Oryctolagus cuniculus: one gene and its partner. The protein of the gene in region 1 purifies or fractionates together with the protein of each later gene. This does not show direct contact. Links are inferred from orthologs where the notes say so. Each region holds a gene or a part of one and is shown in the gene's direction. Other genes may lie near its edges. The genes, in order: SNX33 and DNM2.

Region 1 (4,400 bases):
TGGGGGGAGCTCCCAAAAGCTGTGGGGGACCTACCCAGGCTCTGACCTTGCAGAGCCCGGCTGCCCTGGGTGGGGACAGACACGCTTGTGAGGTTTCTTGGCTCACAGACTTGTCAACCCCTCCCATTTTCTCGGCTTGGGCGTTCCAGGCTCACCGGCCCAACCCTCTGGGAACTGGGCGCTCCAAGGAGCAGCCCTAAGTGTCTCTGACATATGGATGCACAAATTCCACTCTGTTCCGCGGTGTACTTTCTGTGCACATTTGTACCGGGGCTCTCAGTTATGGCCAAACGCCAGCCCTGCAGGGGGAGTCAGATCCTCCTCCTGCACCCTGAGTCTGAGTTTTGGAGCCACAGCCCTCCCACCCCCAACAGCCCAAGGTACCCAACAGGAACAGCACCACCTGGTGCCAGTTCCTCTACAGCAGGAAGACAGCGAATGCGGGGGCAGCAAGTTTAGCTACAGGGCACCGCCAAGGAAAGAGGATCAATGCTGAACTCGTTGGCACCTCCTCCTCTAGGAGGCCTTCCTGGATCCTTGCTCCACCCTGGCTGAGGCGGGTGCCTTTCCTCCCACTTTTCTTCATGACGCTTCTCCCGACACACCTGAACTTCTAGAAGGCGAGCCCACCCACCCCCCCAGGCCTTATTTGTCCCTGTAGCCCGAGGGCCTGGTGCAGTCGCTACCCTGTCGATGCTTCCTGAGCGCAAGACCGAATAAATCAGAGGCGGAATGGATGGGGACCAGCGGGGGCCCCCAAGGCAAGAGGCAGGCAGAGCCAGCGACCAAAGAGGTCCCGCGGGCCAGAGGTCGGGACCCACCGCACCCTCCTCGTGGCCGCCGCTGTCAGGACAGGACACGCAGCCCTCGCCGTCACCCAGCGCCGCGGCGCCCGGCCTGCCAAGGCTCGTGCCCCGTCGCCGCAGGTGTAGGCGCCTGCCTTTCCCGCGGACGAGTCGCCCGGAGCACGGCTGTTCCTGGCCGTATCTGCCTGGGGGAGGGCGCATCCCTGGCTCTCCACGCCCCGCGCCCGCGGCCCGGCGCTGGCGCCCTCCTGGCAACCCGGCGCTTTGCAAACTTTCGGAGTTTTCCTCCACTTGCGTCACGGAAAAGGCAGGAGGGTGGCCGAGGCCGGCTTGCAGGCGGCGGCGGCGGCGGGCGAGCTCCCCCGCGTGGCGCTCGCAGTCCCGGGGGCCCGGGGGCGACTCCGGGCCGCGGGCGGGCTGGGGGCGGGGAGGCGGCGCCCGGGGCTCCTGTCCCGAAGACTCGCAGCCGGGCGGGATCCCAGGGAGCCTCCTCGCTGCGCTGCCGGACGGTGCAGGGCAGGGGCGCGCCCTCCGGACACCGCGGGGCGCGGGGCGCGGGAGGGGGCCGGGCCACGCGGGGCGGAGCCGGGCCGTGCCTGCCCCGCCGGGCGGCGCGGAAGTGCGGCGGACTTCTCCCGACTCCCCAGCCAGCTTCTCTCCGCCCCCCGCGCCTCCCCTCAGTCTCGGACGCCTCCTCCCGGAATCCCTGTTTTTTTTTGTTTTGTTTTGTTTTGCTTTGGAGCTGGCTTCTCTCAGGCGGCGAGTGCGGGCGAAGGAGGCTGGGGGGCGCAGCCCGTCCCCCCACCGGCTGGGACCCGCGGGGCGGAGCGAAGCGCGGACGTGGAGCCCACTCTCCGAACTACTGCTGAGTTGAGCGCACGGTGCGGGGCGGGGGTCGTGCGCACGGGCGCTCGGGGGTGGGGAGGAGGGGATCCCTGGATTCCGATCGGGGTCAGCTTCAGGCTCACAAAGTGTTGAGGAATTAGGCAAACAAAAGAGGCCGCCCAGCCAGTGGCCAGAAGTCGCGCCCCCTCCTCCCTGGGGTGAGGCCAGATCCCGCAGGGGCGAGGCGTTGGCAGTCTGCTGCGTGCCCCCGGCCCGCGGAGAGGCCGGGCACGTCCACCCCTGGCCTCGACGCAGGAGGCTGCTCCCGTCGCCCTTGGATTTTTGAGAACCCGGTGGACCAGGAGGAGGAGGAGGAGGAGGAGGAGGAAGGAGGAAGGGGCAGATCTGCGGAGGAATGTGAGCGCCTCCCCAGGCCAGCGCAGCCAGAGGAGCTGGGAGCCAGCGGGCGGGCGGGCCCTGCCTGGGTTTCTGCGCCGCGATTCCCAGGGACTCTCTTCTATTTTAGAACATTGCCCCAGTGGAAAGCGTCGGATTCTTGCCCTGCCTTGCATAGCTGGCTCCCGCAGGTCACTTGACTTTTCTTCTGGGAGTGGGAGGAGGAAGACCATGGCCGGGAGCCCTCCCTCCCTGGAAGCACATGGCCAGATCCCTGATTGGGCCGCTGCTGGGCCCTGGACACTGCTTTAAAGAGCGGGCGGCTGGACAGCATCCGCAGGTGCAGAGACCCCACCTCAGGAGCCGGGAAACTGAGCTGGGGAAGGAACCTTGGACATCTTAGTGAGTGGCCGCGAGCTGGGCAGGACCCGCTCCTTCCAGTCCCTCTCGACCCCCTGCCCCCGGCCCAGCCATGGCTCTGAAAGGCCGGGCACTCTACGACTTCCACAGCGAGAACAAGGAGGAGATCAGCATCCAGCAGGACGAGGACCTGGTCATCTTCAGCGAGACCTCGCTGGACGGCTGGCTGCAGGGCCAGAACAGCCGCGGCGAGACCGGGCTCTTCCCGGCCTCCTACGTGGAGATCATCCGTCCCGGCGCCGCCAACCACGTTCACGCTGACCACTACAGCGGCGCTTCTGCCGGCTCCCTGGGCACCCAGGCAAGCTTGTACGACAGCCCCAGGAGCGGCGGTGTGCCCGGCTTCCTCTCCAACCAGGGCAGCTTCGAGGACGAGGAGGACGACGACTGGGATGACTGGGACGACGGCTGCACGGTGGTGGAGGAGCCGCGCGCGGGGGGCCTGGGCACCAACGGGCATCCCCCGCTCAACCTCTCCTACCCGGGCGCCTACCCCAGCCAGCACATGGCCTTCCGGCCCAAGCCGCCCCTGGAGCGGCAGGACAGCCTGGCCTCAGCAAAGCGGGGCAGCATGGTGGGCCGCAACCTCAACCGCTTCTCGTGCTTCGTGCGCTCCGGGGTGGAGGCCTTCATCCTGGGGGACGTGCCCATGATGGCCAAGATCGCCGAGACCTACTCGATCGAGATGGGCCCTCGCGGCCCCCAGTGGAAGGCCAACCCCCACCCGTTTGCCTGCTCTGTGGAGGACCCCACCAAACAGACCAAGTTCAAGGGCATCAAGAGCTACATCTCCTACAAGCTCACGCCCACGCACGCCAGCTCGCCCGTCTACCGGCGCTACAAGCATTTCGACTGGCTCTACAACCGGCTGCTGCACAAGTTCACCGTCATCTCGGTGCCGCACCTGCCGGAGAAGCAGGCCACGGGCCGCTTCGAGGAGGACTTCATCGAGAAGCGGAAGCGGCGGCTGGTGCTCTGGATGGACCACATGACCAGCCACCCGGTGCTGTCGCAGTACGAGGGCTTCCAGCACTTTCTCAGCTGCCTGGACGACAAGCAGTGGAAGATGGGCAAGCGGCGAGCCGAGAGGGACGAGATGGTGGGCGCCAGCTTCCTGCTCACCTTCCAGATCCCCACGGAGCACCAGGACCTGCAGGACGTGGAGGACCGCGTGGACACGTTCAAGGCCTTCAGCAAGAAGATGGACGACAGCGTGCTGCAGCTGAGCACCGTGGCGTCGGAGCTGGTGCGCAAGCATGTCGGGGGCTTCCGCAAGGAGTTCCAGAAGCTGGGCAGCGCCTTCCAGGCCGTGAGCCACGCCTTCCAGCTGGACCCGCCATTCAGCTCCGAGGCCCTCAACAGCGCCATCTCCCACACGGGCCGCACCTACGAGGCCGTGGGGGAGATGTTCGCCGAGCAGCCCAAGAATGACCTTTTCAAGATGCTGGACACACTGTCCCTCTACCAGGGCCTGCTCTCCAACTTCCCCGACATCATCCACCTGCAGAAAGGTAGGCTCCGGGGCGCCCGGACCCTCTGCCGCTCCTTCGGCATGGACGTGGGTTGCTCGCGGTGGCTGGCGACTCCCTGCGTGCCGGGGTAGCGTGCAGGGCGTGGGGTCCCTGTCCTGGGGGGCCTCCTTGTTTGCCTTCCTCTCTGTGCCTGACCCACTCACACCTCATGCACGGAGCCCCTGCACTCTATCGGACAGGGCTCTGGGGTCACGGAGATGAGCCCCTGGGTGCAGGGGGCACCCCGGCCGGGTAACAGAGCACGGTGTGCAGGCCCGCTGCCCAGCAGCCCTGCTCCCGTGTCCTTGTGTCCTATCTGTGGCCTCCTATCTCTGTCCCGGAGGAGCTCTGTCCCCGTTCCCAGAAGAAGGAACAGGTGCCCACAGGAGGGCAGCGGCATGGGGCGTCCACGGCCCAGCTGGGACTGTCCCTTCCTCCCGCC
Region 2 (3,796 bases), on another chromosome or scaffold:
CAGGTTCTCCCCCAGCTGTCCTGCTCCAGATGGTTTGGGGGTGCTCTGGCTGTGCCCGGCACTGGGGCCTCCCAGCAGCCCCAGCTCTGGGAAGGCCGCCCCCTCTCCGGAAGTCTTCATGCCCCGGGGGAGGCTGTCCTCACCCCGTGTGTCAGGTGAGGGAACGAGGATCTGAGCAGTGGCTTGTCCTGTGTCACAGCCAGGGAGGGCTCTGCGTGCGGGTGTGCCGCCTGTGGACCCGAGGGACGCCCCACCCTTGCGTATCAGTCACTGTGCTCCGCCCAGCCCCAGCACAGTAAGGTTTGGGGTGAAATGTGGAATCCCCCCCATGTGGGGCTGCACTCATCTCTAGGAAGTTTCTGGAACCCCAGCCCCACCTGCGGGGCCCCGTCTGAGGTGCTCTGTGCATGTCTGGAGTCCCCATGGAACATTCTAGAACCGAGACCAGGCACAGCCTTGTCCCTGCCCCAAGCCCCTTGAGGAACCCACTAGTCTGAATCAGAGTGGTTCCTCAAAATAGCCGGGCTGGGGGGTCGGGGTGACCCTTGGTCCTTCCCCCACCCCCATCCTGCCCCCACCGTCGGGAACGCGCCTGCCTTGGACGCAGCAGCTGCCGGGTGCGCGGGGGCTGCTCTCAGGGCTGTGGGGGTCTTCCGAGCTCCCCGGGGCAGTGGGGGCTGGGCTCCTGGGCCACCCCAGCCCGGCGGTGCCCCGTGTGGTGGCCTCAGAAGCCCGGGGTTCAGGGCCCCTTGGATTTCACCTGCGCAGGGGCCCCTTCAGTCTCCCTGCATCCAGAGAGCCAAAGCGGGAGCCCCCGCCCTCCCTCAGGGCCCCAGACCGGCGGCAGGGGGAGTATGGGCCCGAGGGGCGGGCGCCCGGGGAATGAGAACCAGCAGCCTTGTGGAAGCGGCCTGTGTGTGCCCCACACACAAAGCGGGGGAGGGGGGGCAGGCGCACAAGTGACCACCCGGCAGGGCCCAGCCTGTGTGTGCCCGACACAAAGCTGGCGGGGGGGCAGGCGCACGAGTGAGCGACCCCCCCACGGGGCCCCCTGCCACCTCGCTGCAGCAGCCTGGGGGTGGCGAGCTCTCAGCAAACAAAGGACGCTCCCTGCCGTGGGGAAGGGGCTTGGCCCGGGACCCCCCAGCTCTCCCCAAGCCCCCCCCACCCCGCACGCCCCTCCTCTGCTCCAGACCTTCTGTCTCGTCCCCTCCGCAGCGGGAAGCAGGCTGGTGGCAGGTGACACTCACCTGGGGCGGGGGTGGGGGCCGTCCGTCGTGCCGCTGGCCCGGGCCCAGCCTAACCAATGTGCAGACTACTGTACACATCTGGAGTCCCCTGAACAGGTAGTCTGAACACTGGGCGGGCGGGGCCGGCTGTCTCGGGGCCCCAGGCCGCGGGGCCCCCGCTGCGCTGCAGCCATGTGCGCGCGCCGTGCGGCCGCTCCTCGGTTCCTTGTGACGTGGCAGGGCTGGGGCCGCTGCGCATCTGGAGAGAGCTGTGGGTTTTCAGGAAATCCTACGGCGGGGGGAGGGGCGGGGGCGGGACGGAGGGTTTGGGTCGGTGGCCTCTGTGCACCCGAGCAGCTGTCTTTGGGGGCCCCGGGGCGGGGAGCAGGGGCGCACGCATGCCTCTGCGCGTGTGCACGCGTGCTCGCGTGTGCGTGGTGTGTGCTGTCGGCTTGAGCAAGGCAGCCGCCCTGGTCCCGGGCAGGATCTGGCTCTAAACAGTTCCAGATGTGGCGTCTCGCGCTGGGCCCGATGGCCCGTGACTCAGTGACTTGGCCTGGCCGGCTGGAAGCTTCCTGCCTCTTGACACGCGAGGGTGGGGGCCGCAGAGGCCCTTCTGGAAACTTCCAGGCAAGGGACAAACGCGCCTGCACAGGCCCCCGCCCTGGCCACTGCCAAAGCCCCCACAAGCTGTTCCCTGAGAGGCTGGGGAGACCCAGGCCCTGCATCCCCGGGCCTTGCCTGGGACCCCTGGTGCTTTCTGAGCCACCACCCACCCCTTGGCCCCCAGCCTGCATGGGGGCAAGAGTGCCTGTACTGCCATGGCCGCTCTACCCTGTCCCGCCCCCAGCCTGCACCTCCCACCTCTGACTGAAGACCCGGGAGGCAGAGAGAGGGAAAGCCGACTTTGACCACCGCCAGGCAGGGCTCCTGAGGTCACGGAGCTGGGCCCAGCCTGCCCCACGCCCCATACAGATGCCCGAGCCTCGAGCCAGCACCCACCTGCCAAGGAGCCCCCGCCGGGCGCCCCCCACCCCACTGCGGCTGTGTTGGATTTCTTTCTGGGCCCTTGCAGCAGCAGGGGGGAGGCACGTGACGAGTCTGGAAGCCCACGTGGTGGAGAAAGGCCCTGGGGGTGCGGCGTGGACAGAGAACTTGGCTTTGTGTCAGACGGGCCTGGCCACCTGCTGTGTGGCCCTGGGCAGCCAGCGTCCCTCTCTGAGCCTGGGGCCCAGCCTGCCCGAGACTCCTGGCCAGCACCCACCTGCCTCTCTGAGCTGATGCGGGCAGAGCCTGGCACTGGGCACTGGGGGCGGCTGCGGCTGCGGCTGCGGGTTACGTGTGGTCTCCCGCCCTCTCCATGTAACTGCTCCAAGGAGCAGTGGCCGTGGCACTGGAGGGGTTGCCCGCCTCAGCAGTGGGGGCTTCCAGGCCTGGCACGTGGGTGGCCCTTCCTGAATGGGGCTTTTTCCAGCTCTGGGGTCACCCACGAAGCCACAGCCCTGTCCCCCTCTGTGCCTCAGTCTACCCCACCGTGAAATGGGTGCATGATGCTTGTCGTGGAAACAGCCTAGGTCGCTGTCCGTCCCCTCCGTCGAGTGACAGCTTAGAATGTGAGAACTCCCTGTGTGAGGGTTGCCAGGGTTGAAACAGGGATGGGAGCCCCCGCCCTCCAGTCCAGGTGGGGGACACCTGTCCGTGCATAAGACAAGGTCCGTGGTGGGTGGGGTTCTGTGAGCGGTGCGTGGGGAGGAGTCCAGGAAGGTCCCCTGTGCCCGGATGTGGGGCAGCGTCCCAGGCAGAGGCCCTGGAGCAGGTGCGTGGCTGTGCTGGCGGCGGCACAGGACGCCCTGGGGTCACGTCAGGGCCCCGGGTGACTCCTCGCTTGCATCCTCAGGAAAAGGAGAAGAAGTACATGCTGCCTCTGGACAACCTCAAAATCCGCGACGTGGAGAAGGGCTTCATGTCCAACAAGCACGTGTTCGCCATCTTCAACACGGAGCAGAGGTGAGGCCCGCGGCCCGCCCCGGGCTCTCGCGTTCTACAGAGGGAGTCGGCGAGGAGCAGGAAGACACTGCAGGTGCCGCTGACGCCTCTCTGCGCTGAGACGGGGGTGCAGGGAGACCGCCAGGGCCTGGGGAGCCACCGAGGGTTCTGGGCAGAGCAGGGACAGGGCCTGGCTCGGATGCTCACCGGCGCCCTCTGATGGCTGTGGCGGGGATCACAGGGCAGTGGAAACTGGGCTGGTCCGAGGACGTGGGGAAGACAGGATGGATTCTGGGTGCCAGAGAGAAAGGAGACATGGACAGTGACCTTGGGGATTTGGGCCTGTAGCCGCCATCGGCAGAGATGGGAAAAATGAGGCAGGGTCATTGGGCAGTCGGCAGCAGGTTTGGGGCCATGCGTGGGGGAGAGGTCACAGGGGTTGGGGGGAGGAGGCTGTGGGCATCTGGGCAGGGGTGGGGCCCGGGAGGAGTCACTGCCTCCACAGCATTCAGTCTGGAGGTCAGGCGAGCGGGCGGGGCCCTCATCAGGAACCAAGGCCTACGGGCCACAGAGCTCAGCGG

Evidence for each region.
Region 2: the proteins of SNX33 (region 1) and DNM2 purify together in Homo sapiens (co-immunoprecipitation; 3 studies listed by BioGRID and IntAct, with this or other methods). This does not show direct contact. The link is inferred for Oryctolagus cuniculus from reciprocal best matches to the Homo sapiens genes SNX33 and DNM2.

The regions. Positions count from the first base shown.
Region 1 is NC_091443.1:108,361,704-108,366,103, reverse strand, and holds the start of SNX33 (sorting nexin-33), read left to right. Parts: upstream 1-1,398; 5' UTR 1,399-1,687; intron 1,688-2,157; 5' UTR 2,158-2,499; coding exon 2,500-3,958; intron 3,959-4,400. UniProt on the Homo sapiens protein: Plays a role in the reorganization of the cytoskeleton, endocytosis and cellular vesicle trafficking via its interactions with membranes, WASL, DNM1 and DNM2. Acts both during interphase and at the end of mitotic cell divisions.
Region 2 is NC_091447.1:66,760,669-66,764,464, reverse strand, and holds part of DNM2 (dynamin-2), read left to right. Parts: intron 1-1,250; exon of another isoform or gene 1,251-1,486; intron 1,487-3,126; coding exon 3,127-3,236; intron 3,237-3,796. UniProt on the Homo sapiens protein: Catalyzes the hydrolysis of GTP and utilizes this energy to mediate vesicle scission at plasma membrane during endocytosis and filament remodeling at many actin structures during organization of the actin cytoskeleton.